Linked DNA regions of Callithrix jacchus. The protein of the gene in region 1 interacts with the protein of each later gene in a pairwise test. Links are inferred from orthologs where the notes say so. Each region holds a gene or a part of one and is shown on either strand. Other genes may lie near its edges.

Region 1 (4,303 bases):
ACCAGGGACCTTTCACATGTGAGGCGAACGTGATAACCACTACACTACAGAAACCACCTTAGCTGTTAGCGTACGGCATTGTCCTGAAGATAGACGTGACTGCGAAGGCCGGGAGAGGGAGAGGACCGCGCCCTTGTAGGACAGGACCAGGGACCCGTGCCGCGGCCAGCTGAGCGGTGGTGTCCCAGTTCTGGGGCCGTACTTTTCTACTGCAGCAGAGTACGCAGCTCCTGGCATGGCCTAGCATAGTTCACCCACGAGGGTTTGTGGTTTTGGTACGTTTGATCTGACATCCTCAGAGGCCGGACCACCCCCGTAGGAAGCACGACACCCATCTGGAGTTTTCCCGCGAGCCGCCTTGAGAGCCGAGTAAGTTCTGCAGGCCCAGCCCTGGCGTCACACCGTGTCCGACACTCACTGGAGATTCTGTACATAAATCATGGCCAATATTTATTTATTTATTTATTTATTTATATACTACTGACATCAACAGTCGCTATAAAAATAAAACTTAGGCCAGGCGCGGTGGCTCACTCCTGTAATCCCAGCACTTTGGGAGGCCGAGGCGGTGGATCACGAGGTCAAGAGATCCAGGCCATCCTGGTCAACATGATGAAACCCCATCTCTACTAAAAATACAAAAAATTAGTTGGGCATGGTGGCGCGTGCCTGTAATCCCAGCTACTCAGGAGGCTGAGGCAGGAGAATTGCCTCAACCCAGGAGGCGGAGGTTGGCGGTGAGTCGAGATCGCGCCATTGCACTCTAACCTGGGTAACAAGAGCGAAACTCTGTCTAAAAAATAAAAAAATTAAAAAAAATAAAAAAAACTTAAGTCCGGGCGCGGTGGCTCACGCCTGTAAGCCCAGCACTTTGGGAGGCCGAGGTGGGCGGATCACGAGGTACAAAGTTCAAGACCAGCCTGGCCAAAATGGTGAAATCCCCATCTCTACTTAGAGTACAAAAAGTAATCGGTCGCAGTGGCACGTGCCTGTAATACCAGCTACTTGGGAGGCTGAGGCAGAAAAATCGCTTGAACCCGGGAGGCGGGGGTTGCAGTGAGCCGAGATCGTGCCACTGCACTCCAGCCTGGGCGACGGAGCATGACTTTGTCTCGAAAAAATAAAATTTAAAAAGCTATCTAAGCAACAAATATTATTTCGACTGCACAAAGCATCTATTTTTGCAGAGATGCTGTGAGAATGTAGATGTAATGATTCGTCACCACTTCTTTATTGCTGGGCAGTTAGGGAAATTCATCTAAACCATGAGACAGCGTTGGGTTTGCAATTTCTACCGTGGATGCGGAATGCAGAATACAGTTGGAAGGGTGGGGCGACTGCATCCCAACCCTCGCCGCGCTTTCTCAGGCCCCGCCCCCAAGTCAGACCCGGACGATCCTCTGAGTCCTCCACCACAAAGTCGTCTGCCTAGAAGGGCCGGAAGTACGTCAGAGCGCTCCGCGGACCCACCCCTTCGCTTCCGGCATCGGTTGTTGGGAGTACCGGCAGCAGTCGACTGTGCCGGGTGGGTAGGATGGCGCCAGGCCGATGCTGTCATAGCACCGAAGGCAGACGGCCACCAAGCGCTCCCTCCTCCCCCAGAAGTTTCTCCCCAGCGGCCGGGGATGGGGGTAGGCGGTTCCTCTGTTCTCTCTGCTTTCGCCCTGGCCCCGCACCACAGAGACGTGGGCCTCCACCGTCCTAGCCCTCCCGCCCTGTTCTCGAATGCGGGCTAGAGCGTCTCCTCGCCGTTTCCTGTCGTCCTGGGGCCCCAGGGGGAAAAAGGGGGAGTAGCACGACAGCGGAGGAAAGTCGCGAACTTAGGTGGTGTGTCGACGCCGGAAGTGTTTGGAAGGAGGCCGGAAGCTAGGGGCGGGGCCAGGAAGTGAGGAGGGGCGGGGGTTTATGAGGAGTCCAAGGGAGCATTGGGACAGATTTGCACCCAGAGCCACCTGAGGGACTTGAAGGTGGCGCCCAGTTCGGTCCCCATCCCTCCCCTCCCCTCCCCTCGCTGAGACACGGTTGTCGTTCGGGAGTAGGGAACTCTGTGCGGCGGTGTGGGTTGTCTGGAGGACATCTCTCTGGCTGCTCTTGGAGCAAGGTGTGGAGGGGCAGGGCTGGGGGTGGGGCCGGGTCGCCCTGGCGTCGGTGGAGGAAGACCCCCGCCCCCTGCCCCCCACCGCACCTCTACACTGGCTGGCTGGACACTAAGATGGCTGCCGTTGCCATGACACCCAACCCTGTGCAGACCCTTCAGGAGGAGGCGGTGTGCGCCATCTGCCTCGATTACTTCACGGACCCCGTGTCCATCGGCTGCGGGCACAACTTCTGCCGAGTGTGTGTAACCCAGTTGTGGGGTGGGGAGGATGAGGAGGACAGGGATGAGTTAGATCGGGAGGAGGAGGAGGAAGACGGAGAGGAAGAGGAAGTGGAGGCTGTGGGGGCTGGTGCAGGGTGGGATACCCCCATGCGGGATGAAGACTACGAGGGTGACATGGAGGAGGAGGTCGAGGAGGAAGAAGAGGGTGTGTTTTGGACCAGTGGCATGGGCAGGTCCAGCTGGGACAATATGGACTACGTGTGGGAGGAGGAGGATGAGGAGGAAGACCTGGACTACTACTTGGGGGACATGGAGGAAGACCTGAGGGGGGAGGATGAGGAGGACGAGGAGGAAGTGCTGGAGGAGGATGAAGAAGAGGAGCTAGACCCCGTCACCCCACTACCCCCACCTCCCGCCCCTCGGAGGTGCTTCACATGCCCCCAATGCCGAAAGAGCTTTCCTCGGCGGAGCTTCCGCCCCAACCTGCAACTGGCCAATATGGTCCAGGTGATTCGGCAGATGCACCCAAACCCTGGTCGAGGGAGTCGTGTAACCGATCAAGGCATCTGTCCCAAACACCAAGAAGCTCTGAAGCTCTTCTGCGAGGTAGACGAAGAGGCCATCTGTGTGGTGTGCCGAGAATCCAGGAGCCACAAACAACACAGCGTGGTGCCATTGGAGGAGGTGGTGCAGGAGTATAAGGTGAGAGAAGTACAGAGAGAAGATGGGAGTTTAGTGGGGGGCGGAAAGGAAGTAAGGGGAGCTGGGAAAAGGAAAATCTCTTCATCCACCAAAGACCCTGATAGCACTGGTGAACTGTGTTTGCTTATCTAAGCACTTACTGCCACCGGGGTGGGTTAGAATGAGAAGGATCCTGTATACCGAGCAGATGCAGTGAAGACCACCAGGGAATGGTGGCTTTTTCAAATAGAGCAAAGCAGGTGATGCCAGATCAGGTCCCTAGGGCGTTATCAGCAGTCTCCTTTTCTTTCGGGTGAGTCTTAAGTCTATCCTTGACGGAAACACTTAGAGATGGAAAGAACTGGGGGCTTCAAAGAACAAGGAAAGGCTCAAAAGCAGAATACAGAGATGACTGCTAGTATTCAGCGTCAAACCCAAATGCCCTGTACTTAACTCCCAATGGTTTCCCCTCCCACCACAATATGGCTTGGTTCTGCCTTCAAGGACTTTGGTTGATTCTTCTGTGTCAGTCTTATGTACTGACTAGAAAAGAGGAGCTTTTCAGTCAGAAGACCTAGCTCTGCAAGTTGCACTGTCAAATCTTGGTTAAGTGTCTGATCTGAGTGTCTTTGAACTTTAATTTCTCCAGGATTGATAGTTACTTTTCACTGGACGTTTGTATGTATACCTGGCACTGTACTAGGCACTTGTCATGGACTGACTCATTAAAACCCAAACAACACTGTAAGTTTGATAGGTTTTCCATTCCCATTTTATAGATTGGGAAACAAAGTGAGAGGTTTTAAGTACTATACAGAAAGCCACAGAGCTTTAGTAATGATTGACTTGGTTATTTACCATCCCTTCTCCTGGTGTATATTAAAAATGCCACCACCATTTGGATGTCTGTTGTTTATCTTTTCTGATGTGGGACTTTCTTGGAGTTTGATTCTAGTTTGGCTAATATCTTGTCCCCTACTTCTCATTCTGACTCTTCTTTGGACATAGGTAAAGGAGATTTGTCTGCAAGGCAGCCAGCACAAGTAGCACTACTTAGTGAAGGCCTGGATGGGTTTGAATCAGTGGGACCAGGAGGAGGAGAGGGTAGCCTCTGTGTGGTGTGCACAGAGCTTTTTTGTTTTATGACTCACGTTTTTACACCTTCTCCTGATTCCTACTATAAGTTCATTTAGGTATTATTTTTGTTACCCCAAATTTAGAGTAATGTGTCTGGGGCTTCTCAGCTCTGAGTGGTACAATTAGACAAACCTACATCAACTCATCAAAAGTAATAATTCCTTC
Region 2 (4,311 bases), on another chromosome or scaffold:
TGACTTAAAAGAAAAGATAGGCTTAAACAGGGGGACTGGAAGAGGAGAGGAAAGGTTCTGCTTTGGGGACACCTCTCAAAGATTAATCAATACTTTTTCCTAATTCAAACCAGATGTCTAGCCCAGTTTGCTGTACCCATTAATCCCATTAACAACTTCAAAGACCTGGTCACCATCCTCTGGACACCTGAGACAATGAAAATAACAGGGCGACACTGCTGGTGGTGCAGTCGGGGCTCCGGGTGGAATAGGTGACTACAGATATTCTCCTGATCCGACACGTCCCAGATCCGACGTGACTGTTCCTCCTGCTCATTAAAGCCCATTCACTTGTGTATAAACGACTGTGCCCCAGCGGATCTTGTCGCTCACCAAGCAAGTGGCAGTATCAAAGCCCTGCCCTCGCTCTCCCATGCTTACTGGAGGCAAGTTATCGAGTTTATTTTCAGGGATGCAAAGATGTAATCAAGCGCCCAAGCTTAGTGAATTCTTAGAGCTATCGAAATTTAAGATTTCTCAGTAAATGGAGCAGTGGTGTTAAGAGACACGATTAGTGGATTTATTTTTGAGCAGAAGAGTGGATTTCTAGAGGGAACTGAAGAGACCTGGGCTAGCTCCGGAGGGGAGAGGCTAGAAATGTGCATGCAAATCTACACATCTCATGTGACTGGGACAAAATCGCTTGGAAATAATTCTTGACCCAGGAAAATTTCTTCTTGGTGGACGAGTGGCTAGGAAATTGAGCGAGACCAGGAAAGCGGGGGGGAGGGAGACTCCACCGGGCATCGCACGTGAGGATGCCAGAGAGCAGGCATCTGCAATTCGCGCTTACCTCCCACCCACCCCACCAGGTCTTCCTTAGGTCTTCCTCTCAGGTCTTTCCGCACTGTGAACCACACTTTCCAGGCCATGGTGCACGTCCCCGAAACCTCAGACCTGGCGTCCCAGCCTCTTAACCACCACCCACAGAAACTAACTGCGAAAACCTAGGCGCGCGGCGGCGCCCTGGGCACGGGAAGATGCGAAGTTTGAAAAACTTCCAGAGTGCGCCAGGCTAGCTCTGATCTTTTCCTTTAACCCTATCACTTCTTTCGTGTTCCTCAAAGGCTAGGCGTATCCCTAGCTTTTCTGCAGGTGACAGTTCCCAAATGACACTGACAAGTTACGTTTTCCCAAGAGAAAAATTAGTAGGTGGGAAACAGGGTGCTGGGTTGGCGCTGGTGCGCGCCGCGCCCTGGCCTCCAGAGTCTGGAGGGCAGAGCCGCTGCCCTCCCGGGCGGGATTTAGACGCTGGCGCGCCGCTTGTAGTCCTGGTAGCTGGCAGGGCTAGGCGGGCGTGGACGCTCTGCGTCTGTCCAGCCGGCGATAGGAAGTGGAACTGGGAGCGCGTGGCGCAGACTGAGCGGGAGTTTTGGAGGGAGTTTGCATGTGGTCAACTCTGGGCTCCTAAGCCAGCCCCCAGCTCACGTTACAGTCTATTTATAACCTCTCAGAGCCATTTCCCCCTGAAGGCAGTTCACTGGGACCACCTTCTTTTGGCTTCAACCTCTCCCACTCTTGACATCTGAGTAGCTCAGGGAAGCTCTTCCAGGTCCGACTGTTCATATGTAAAGGAGACTGGCCGTTAGGGCTCAGGACCGGGATTATCCGAGCTCTGCAGAAGTGCACGGCTATTGCTTTGAGAGGGGTAAAAAACATCACACGGTTTCCAGTGAAAAGTGACAGAGGGTGGTGGCCTTTAGAACCGCCGTGAAGTCTTCTGCCTGGAACCCGAAACTTGCATGCTATGGAACACCCGCTCTTTGGCTGCCTGCGCAGCCCTCACGCCACGGCACAAGGCTTGCACCCGTTCTCCCAATCCTCTCTAGCCCTGCATGGAAGATCTGACCATATGTCTTACCCCGAGCTCTCTACTTCTTCCTCATCTTGCATAATCGCGGGATACCCCAACGAAGAGGGCATGTTTGCCAGCCAGCATCACAGGGGGCACCACCACCACCATCATCACCACCATCACCACCATCAGCAGCAGCAGCACCAGGCTCTGCAAACCAATTGGCACCTCCCGCAGATGTCCTCCCCACCGACTGCGGCTCGGCACAGCCTCTGCCTCCAGCCCGACTCCGGAGGACCCCCAGAGTTGGGGAGCAGCCCGCCTGTCCTGTGTTCCAACTCTTCCAGCTTGGGCTCCAGCACCCCGACCGGGGCCTCGTGCGCGCCAGGGGACTACGGTCGCCAGGCACTGTCACCTGCGGAGGCGGAGAAACGAAGCGGTGGCAAGAGGAAAAGCGACAGCTCAGGTAAGAGAGCGCCAGGCACCCTCGAGAGTGCGCGCCGGCCTGGAAAGGGGGCGGGGAGATGCCAGGGAAGAGTCTGGCCCTGGAGGGTGGCGGCGGGGAAGAGGGGAATGTGTTAAATTCGGCGGTGAAGCTTTGGTCCTGTTATTTGGGGGCACGTGTTTATCCGAGAGCAACACAGCTAGCAGCTCTAAGCTCTCCAAGGTCCTAAACTAGTTTACCAGAAGGTTGATAAAAAAGGACAAGTGGCTGTGAAATCGATTGCGAAGCGTGACCTTCCATCCCAGCGCGGGGGAGGGAGGGGCGTGTGCCCAGGGATGCCGCGTCCGTTGGGCAGGCGTGCGTGCGTGCGGGTGCTGCTTCTTGACTTTTCTCTTGCAAGTTCCCGACTCTGAGTGGCTTGACTTTTCCCATCGTAAACTGGATTTCCAAATTATTGCACAATATTTGGAACTTGCAATGGAACTTGGCAGAGCACATGAGAAAAAAAAAAAAGTTTTAGTTTTTTTTTTTTAAACATTCTTGTTTGAGAGTTCTTTAAATAGCACCCTATTTCAAATGGTAAAAATTTCCCCTTCTTAGGGAAGAAGATATTATCTAGGAATTCAGATTTTAAGGAATGTGTCAGAGAATTGTAAATAAATACATGCTCACGCTGGAAGAAAGACGAACCTTAATATAGTACATGTTCATGTTGTGTAAGTTAATTACAGAATCTAAATTTCAAGAGTGGAAAATAAATCCCTCTACCAAGTTGGTTTTAGCTGCGGCAAATACTGGGTAGCGAACAGCAACTTGGGTAGTGTCAGTTAGCTACGTGCCTGAAGGTCGTATGCAAGGGTGCGCAGGAAGCGCTGATTTCAGTGAGGATAATTTGAGCAGCCACGCAAAAGGGGAATCTTCCTGACCTCTGGTGCTTGAAGGCACAACTTGCAGAGTAAATTGTAGCAATCCAGAGAAACTCAAAGTTTTCCAGACAACTTTTCAAAGCTCTGACCTACTTCTATTATCATAAAATTGTTAAAAGATACTTTAAAATTGAGAGACTTGTGAGTTTTCTTTCGTGGCTATGGTGCACCCTGGCTTCCATCTTTTTGGAAGGTATTATTTGTTTAATATAATATTTGTATATTTTTCTTCCTCTGCGGAACTGGGTTAATAATAGTCCTAGAAGGTAATCCCATATATTGGTTTGAAGGATTGGAATGTTTATGCTTTTTAAAGCTTTAGGTGAGATGTCACATAAATGAAAATGATTGACCGCATGTTTAATATTCCTCTCCCCTTCGCAGCAATATCAATCGTTCTTCAGCGTTAGTATGGGATAGATTCTTCTGTCAGAAGAATAAAATAACTTTTATTTTCCAAGGATAGGGGATGAACTTTTAATGTTCAATCACAAATTAGTTTTTATAAGAAAGTTAGCAGTGGTGTCACTGATATTTACTGTATTTTCCTAACTATAAGTGAAACTCCCTTTAGATAGTGGAAGGTTAATCGTTGTAAGAAGGTTTCAATTTTTATTAGAAAAACCGTCGATTTTAGAATGCAGTGACAATTTTATAAACTGAACATTCGATATCAGTGTAACTTTTGAAAGAGATCCCAGTTCAGGCTGATGAGAGTACTCTTGCAATTCCCATAAGCCCTTACTGTTCATTTTATTTTTCTGCAATGAGAAACCTACATGATAGCCTTATGCTTCCGGAACTGAGCCACTGCCCTTAAGTTTCTTAGGGCAAACAATTTTCATGCAAGCACATGTTATTTTGTTTGGGGGAAACCAAGAAAATGGAATTCAATAACTGATTTCCTTAATTTATTTTAATAAAACTTTTTTTTTTAAAAAGGAATAATTTAATAACATTTGTCTCTTCCCCCAACTGTGTGGGAAATAGCCATTTAACAAAATTAAGTTCATTTCTACATGTTGAAGCTGATAATGAGGGTAATGGAAAAACAAACAAATATAAGTGTTTGTGTCAGCTGAATAAATTATGAATAAATTAAAACT
Region 3 (4,062 bases), on another chromosome or scaffold:
TGGGGTCCAAATTAATCAACAGGGGTTATAGGGACCCAGCTCCAGTTCCATCCCAAACTCCAACCCTGACAAGTCCCTTCATCAGGGACTGTTCTTTCAGGGGCCTAGGGCAGAGAGCATCTGAATCTTGGATTCGGAGGAAAGTGGCTCTGTTTGGGGGAAACCGGAAGCTCGGCTGCAAACACCACCCTGGGGAAACACCTGTAACCGTGATGCTGCCCACTACTTTCAGGAAGGTGGCAACCATGAACAGCGGGGGCTTGCAGAAAGGTCAGCCTGAGGTCACCAGCTTCGTTTGGAAAAAGCCTGTTCCAAACCCACGTTAACAGAGATTGTTTTGGGATCCAGATTATTATTATTTTTTTTGAGATGGAGTCTCACTCTGTTGCCCAGGCTGGAGTGCAGTGGTGCAACCTCAGCTCACTGCAACCTCTGCCTCCCAGGTTCAAGCAATTCTCCTGCCTCAGCCTCCCAAGTAACTGGGATTATAGGCGCCTGCCACCACACCCAGCTAATTTTTCTTGTATTTTCAGTAGAGACGGGGTTTCACCATATTGGCCAGGCTGGTCTCAAACTCCTGACCTTGTGATCTGCCCACCTAGGCTTCCCAATGTGTTGGGATTACAGGCATGAGCCACCGCACCTGGCTTTTTTTTTCCTTTTTTTTTTTTGAGACAGGGTCTTGCTCTATTGCCTAGGCTGGAGGGCAGTGGCACGATATCAGCTCACTACAACCTCTACTTCCTGGGCTCAAGTGATCCTCCCACCGCACCCTCCTGAGCAACTAGGACAACTGGTATGTGTGTGCCACCACACCTGGCTAAATTTTTTTTTTTTTTTTTTGAGACGGAGTTTCGCTGTTGTTACCCAGGCTGGAGTGCAATGGCACAATCTCGGCTCACCGCAACTGCCGCCTCCTGGGTTCAAGCAATTCTCCTGCCTCAGCCTCCCAAGTAGCTGGGACTAACAGGCACGCACCACCATGCCCAGCTAATTTTTGTATTTTTAGTAAAGACGGGGTTTCACCTTGTTGACCAGGATGGTCTCAATCTCTCGACCTCGTGATCCACCCGCCTTGGCCTCCCAAAGTGCTGGGATTATAGGCGTGAGCCACCGCGCCCAGCCTATTTTATTTTTCTTTTCTTTTTTTAAAAATTTTTCTTAAAGATGGGGTTTCACCATGATGGCCAGGCTGGTTTTGAACTCCTGACCTCAGATGATCCACCCACCTCAGCCTCCCAGAGTGCTACGACTACAGGTGTGAGCCACCATGCCCGGCTTAATTTTGGGATTTTTTTTGTACAGATGTGGTCTCACCATGTTGCCCGGGCTAGTCTCAAACTCCCAAGCTAAAGTGATCCATCCTCCTTGGCCTCCCAAAGTGCTAGGACTACAGGTGTGAGTCAGCCATCACATACCACACGAGGCCCAGGGTCCCTATTATACCAAAAAATTGTCTATTCCCTCTATTCCCTTCCCAGTCCCAGTACCCTGGGCACAGTACCTCATTACTCCGGCCCTGCAGCTGGGCACCTTCAGCCTGGAAGAGCCTTGGGGGCACTTTGCAGTCCTCAGGTTCCTTGTCCTCGGGAGGACAAGCCTTCAGGGCCTGCTTGAGTTTCCCACATAAGGAGGAGGGGCTCTCACTTTGAGCAGGAGAATGGAGCTGGGGCCTCTGAGGACTATGACTGCCTCTGGGCTCCTGATCCCTGGGGACTAGACCCAGAGTCCTCGAAACTTCCTCTTCTTCCAAGCCTGCCGGCTCCTTGATGTGGCTGTTCACATTCTGGGAGGCAGGGGGCCCCAGCCCACTCTGGCCACCTGCTGCCTGTCCTACTGAAGTTTTGGGCTTGAAACTCTGGCACAGCTCTACGGCCTCTGGCACTCGCAACTCCCTGGCTGCCAGAAGCACCTGATCCCGGTTCCCTGAGGTGAGGGCGAGGTGACCAGTGTAGAAAAAGTCCAACAAAAGGCCAAAGATCTCAGCGAAGCCAGCAGGGAGGACGACACTGCCCCCTGAGCCATCCCCGTAGAGGCTCTGGAAGAAGTGGCTGCAGCAGGCAAGGACGCTCCAGTGGGCCTTAAACACCAGGCCCCCCACGTCCAGGGTGGCGTCGCAGTACTGGCCCTTCTCCCGCTGCTTGTTGAGCTCCTGCAGAACCCTCACACTGTGCTGGACGAAGGAGCCGTCCATGGTCTGGAGGACAGGGAGGCAGAAGTGACACTCTGGCCAGCCCAAGCGAGGGTATGCAAGATAAAGCCCCTGTAGTCGAAAAGAGAGAAAGGGGAAGTTGTCCTCTATTCAATCAAATTTATCAGCACAAGGGCTTGGGTCAAGGTGAGAGGTGCACGCGGAGGGCAAGAACACACTGAGAGCCTCTTGGGGGCCAGGGGCCATATTGGGTTGGCCGGGGGGATGCTGATGGGGTCCAGGGTCGTGAAGAGGGGCCTGATGGGAGAAATCAAAGTTTGGGGAAAGGAGGCACGGGATGAGCGCGAACTAACTGGCCCGGCACAGCGAGAGGATCCTGGAAGGGGGAGGGCGGCGGCCGCGGACAGGTGAGCGGGGCCCACGCCGCGCCACAGGTCCCGAGCGGCCGAGCGGAAGGCAGCCACGGCGGCCCGCAGCCCCTCCCTCCCTCACCCCGCGCCCTCTCACCCAGGCAGGTTCTCCCTAAGCCGGCCGAGCCGGCCCCACCAGCCGCCGGCTCCGTCGCCTCCACAGCCCACGAACCAACTACCTGGCAATGCGTGCCCCGCGGACCGTGCGGAGACGCCGCCGTCTTCGCGCCGGACGTGACGTCAGAGCGTGCCTGCCAGGAGGGGCGCCTGGGAAGCGTAGAGTTTCTAGCGCCAGCCCCTTAGGGCGGGACCCTGCAGAGAATGGCCAATGCGATGCGGGGACGAGGCCAAACCCTGTTCTTTCGGCGCCGGACCCGCCTCCGGAGTTGCCTAGCAACGTCAAGCTAGGCGCCCAGCCTTTTCCAGGCTCTGGATTCAGACTTCAATAGGCTACATCTCACCCTCTCCCGGGACAGGAAATCAGATACGCGTTTCACTTCTTTATTGGCAGCCCGGAGCCTGCTCTGGGCTCTCCCGGGCGCTTACACGTCCTAACACCAGACTGAGGAGCCCAGAGGCTTCCCGGACACCCCCGGCCTGCTCGACCTTCGACCCTGAGGGCAGGGAAGGTTGCCGGCCGTGCCTGCTGACCCACTGGTCAAGTGGAGCTGCGGCGCCTCGTGTAGTCCTGAATGGAGGCCTGGAAGTGCTCTGTGCTGTTAAGGTCTGGACGGCAGAGGATTACATAGCACTTGGGCAGAAAATACCCGCCGAAGCCACTGCTCAGGCTGCTGAGCACAGCCAGCATGTTGACTGCGGGCAGGTACTTGCCGTCGTAGACACTGGCCGTGGTGAAGAAGGCGATCCAGGACACGAAGTTGAAGAGCAGGCTGAAAGTGACACATTTGGCCTCGTTGTAGTTCTCTGGCAAGTCCTTGCCCAGGTAGTTGCAGGCAAAGGCGCTGATGGAGAGGAGGCCATTGTAGAGGAAGGCCAAGATGAAGCCCAGAGAATTGGCCTCTGTGCACTCAAGCACCACCAGCTGGGGGAAGCGCTGGTATTCCCGAGTGGGCAGTGGGGTCCACACCACCAGCCAAGTTAGACAGATAAGCAGCTGGGCAGCTGAGCTGATCATCACAAACAGGCCGGCACCGTGGTTTTGGACCCAGGCATGGTAGAATGTAGGCACCTTGGTGGAAAACTTGAAGATGATGACTAGTTGGAAGGAGCGAACTGTCAGGCAGGACAGGAAGATGGTGAAACCAAGGGCAAAGAGGGCCTGGCGCAGTAAGCATGCAGGCCATGTGGGCTCCCCAAAGAAACCATAGAGGCTGCTGCTACCTGCTGCCAGGGAGCCCAGCATCAGAAAGCACAGCCGGCCCCCTGCTGACCTCACCACAGGCGTGTCTAGGTGCCAGGCAAACAGGCCAGCAGTCCCAAGCAGCAGCAGCAGCAACACCGTGTTCGCTGCCAGCAGCACCCAAGAGGTATGCTCATGCC

Evidence for each region. The genes of interacting proteins can lie anywhere in the genome.
Region 2: the proteins of TRIM41 (region 1) and MEOX2 interact in binary tests that used the Homo sapiens proteins (3 or more experiments, as listed by UniProt). The two-hybrid records come from large-scale screens. The link is inferred for Callithrix jacchus from reciprocal best matches to the Homo sapiens genes TRIM41 and MEOX2.
Region 3: the proteins of TRIM41 (region 1) and ZBTB48 interact in binary tests that used the Homo sapiens proteins (3 or more experiments, as listed by UniProt). The two-hybrid records come from large-scale screens. The link is inferred for Callithrix jacchus from reciprocal best matches to the Homo sapiens genes TRIM41 and ZBTB48.

Annotation. Positions count from the first base shown.
Region 1 is NC_133503.1:73,626,478-73,630,780, reverse strand, and holds the start of TRIM41 (E3 ubiquitin-protein ligase TRIM41), read left to right. Parts: upstream 1-1,495; 5' UTR 1,496-2,212; coding exon 2,213-3,022; intron 3,023-4,303.
Region 2 is NC_133512.1:42,792,481-42,796,791, forward strand, and holds the start of MEOX2 (homeobox protein MOX-2), read left to right. Parts: upstream 1-1,507; 5' UTR 1,508-1,786; coding exon 1,787-2,300; exon of another isoform or gene 2,301-2,341; intron 2,342-4,311. UniProt on the Homo sapiens protein: Mesodermal transcription factor that plays a key role in somitogenesis and somitogenesis and limb muscle differentiation. Required during limb development for normal appendicular muscle formation and for the normal regulation of myogenic genes.
Region 3 is NC_133508.1:44,471,197-44,475,258, reverse strand, and holds the start of ZBTB48 (zinc finger and BTB domain-containing protein 48), read right to left. Parts: upstream 2,805-4,062; 5' UTR 2,742-2,804; exon of another isoform or gene 2,660-2,741; intron 2,264-2,659; 5' UTR 2,195-2,263; coding exon 1,505-2,194; intron 1-1,504. Other genes in the region: TAS1R1 (taste receptor type 1 member 1), read right to left, coding at 3,221-4,062. UniProt on the Homo sapiens protein: Plays a critical role in transcriptional regulation and chromatin remodeling. Acts as a regulator of telomere length. Directly binds the telomeric double-stranded 5'-TTAGGG-3' repeat.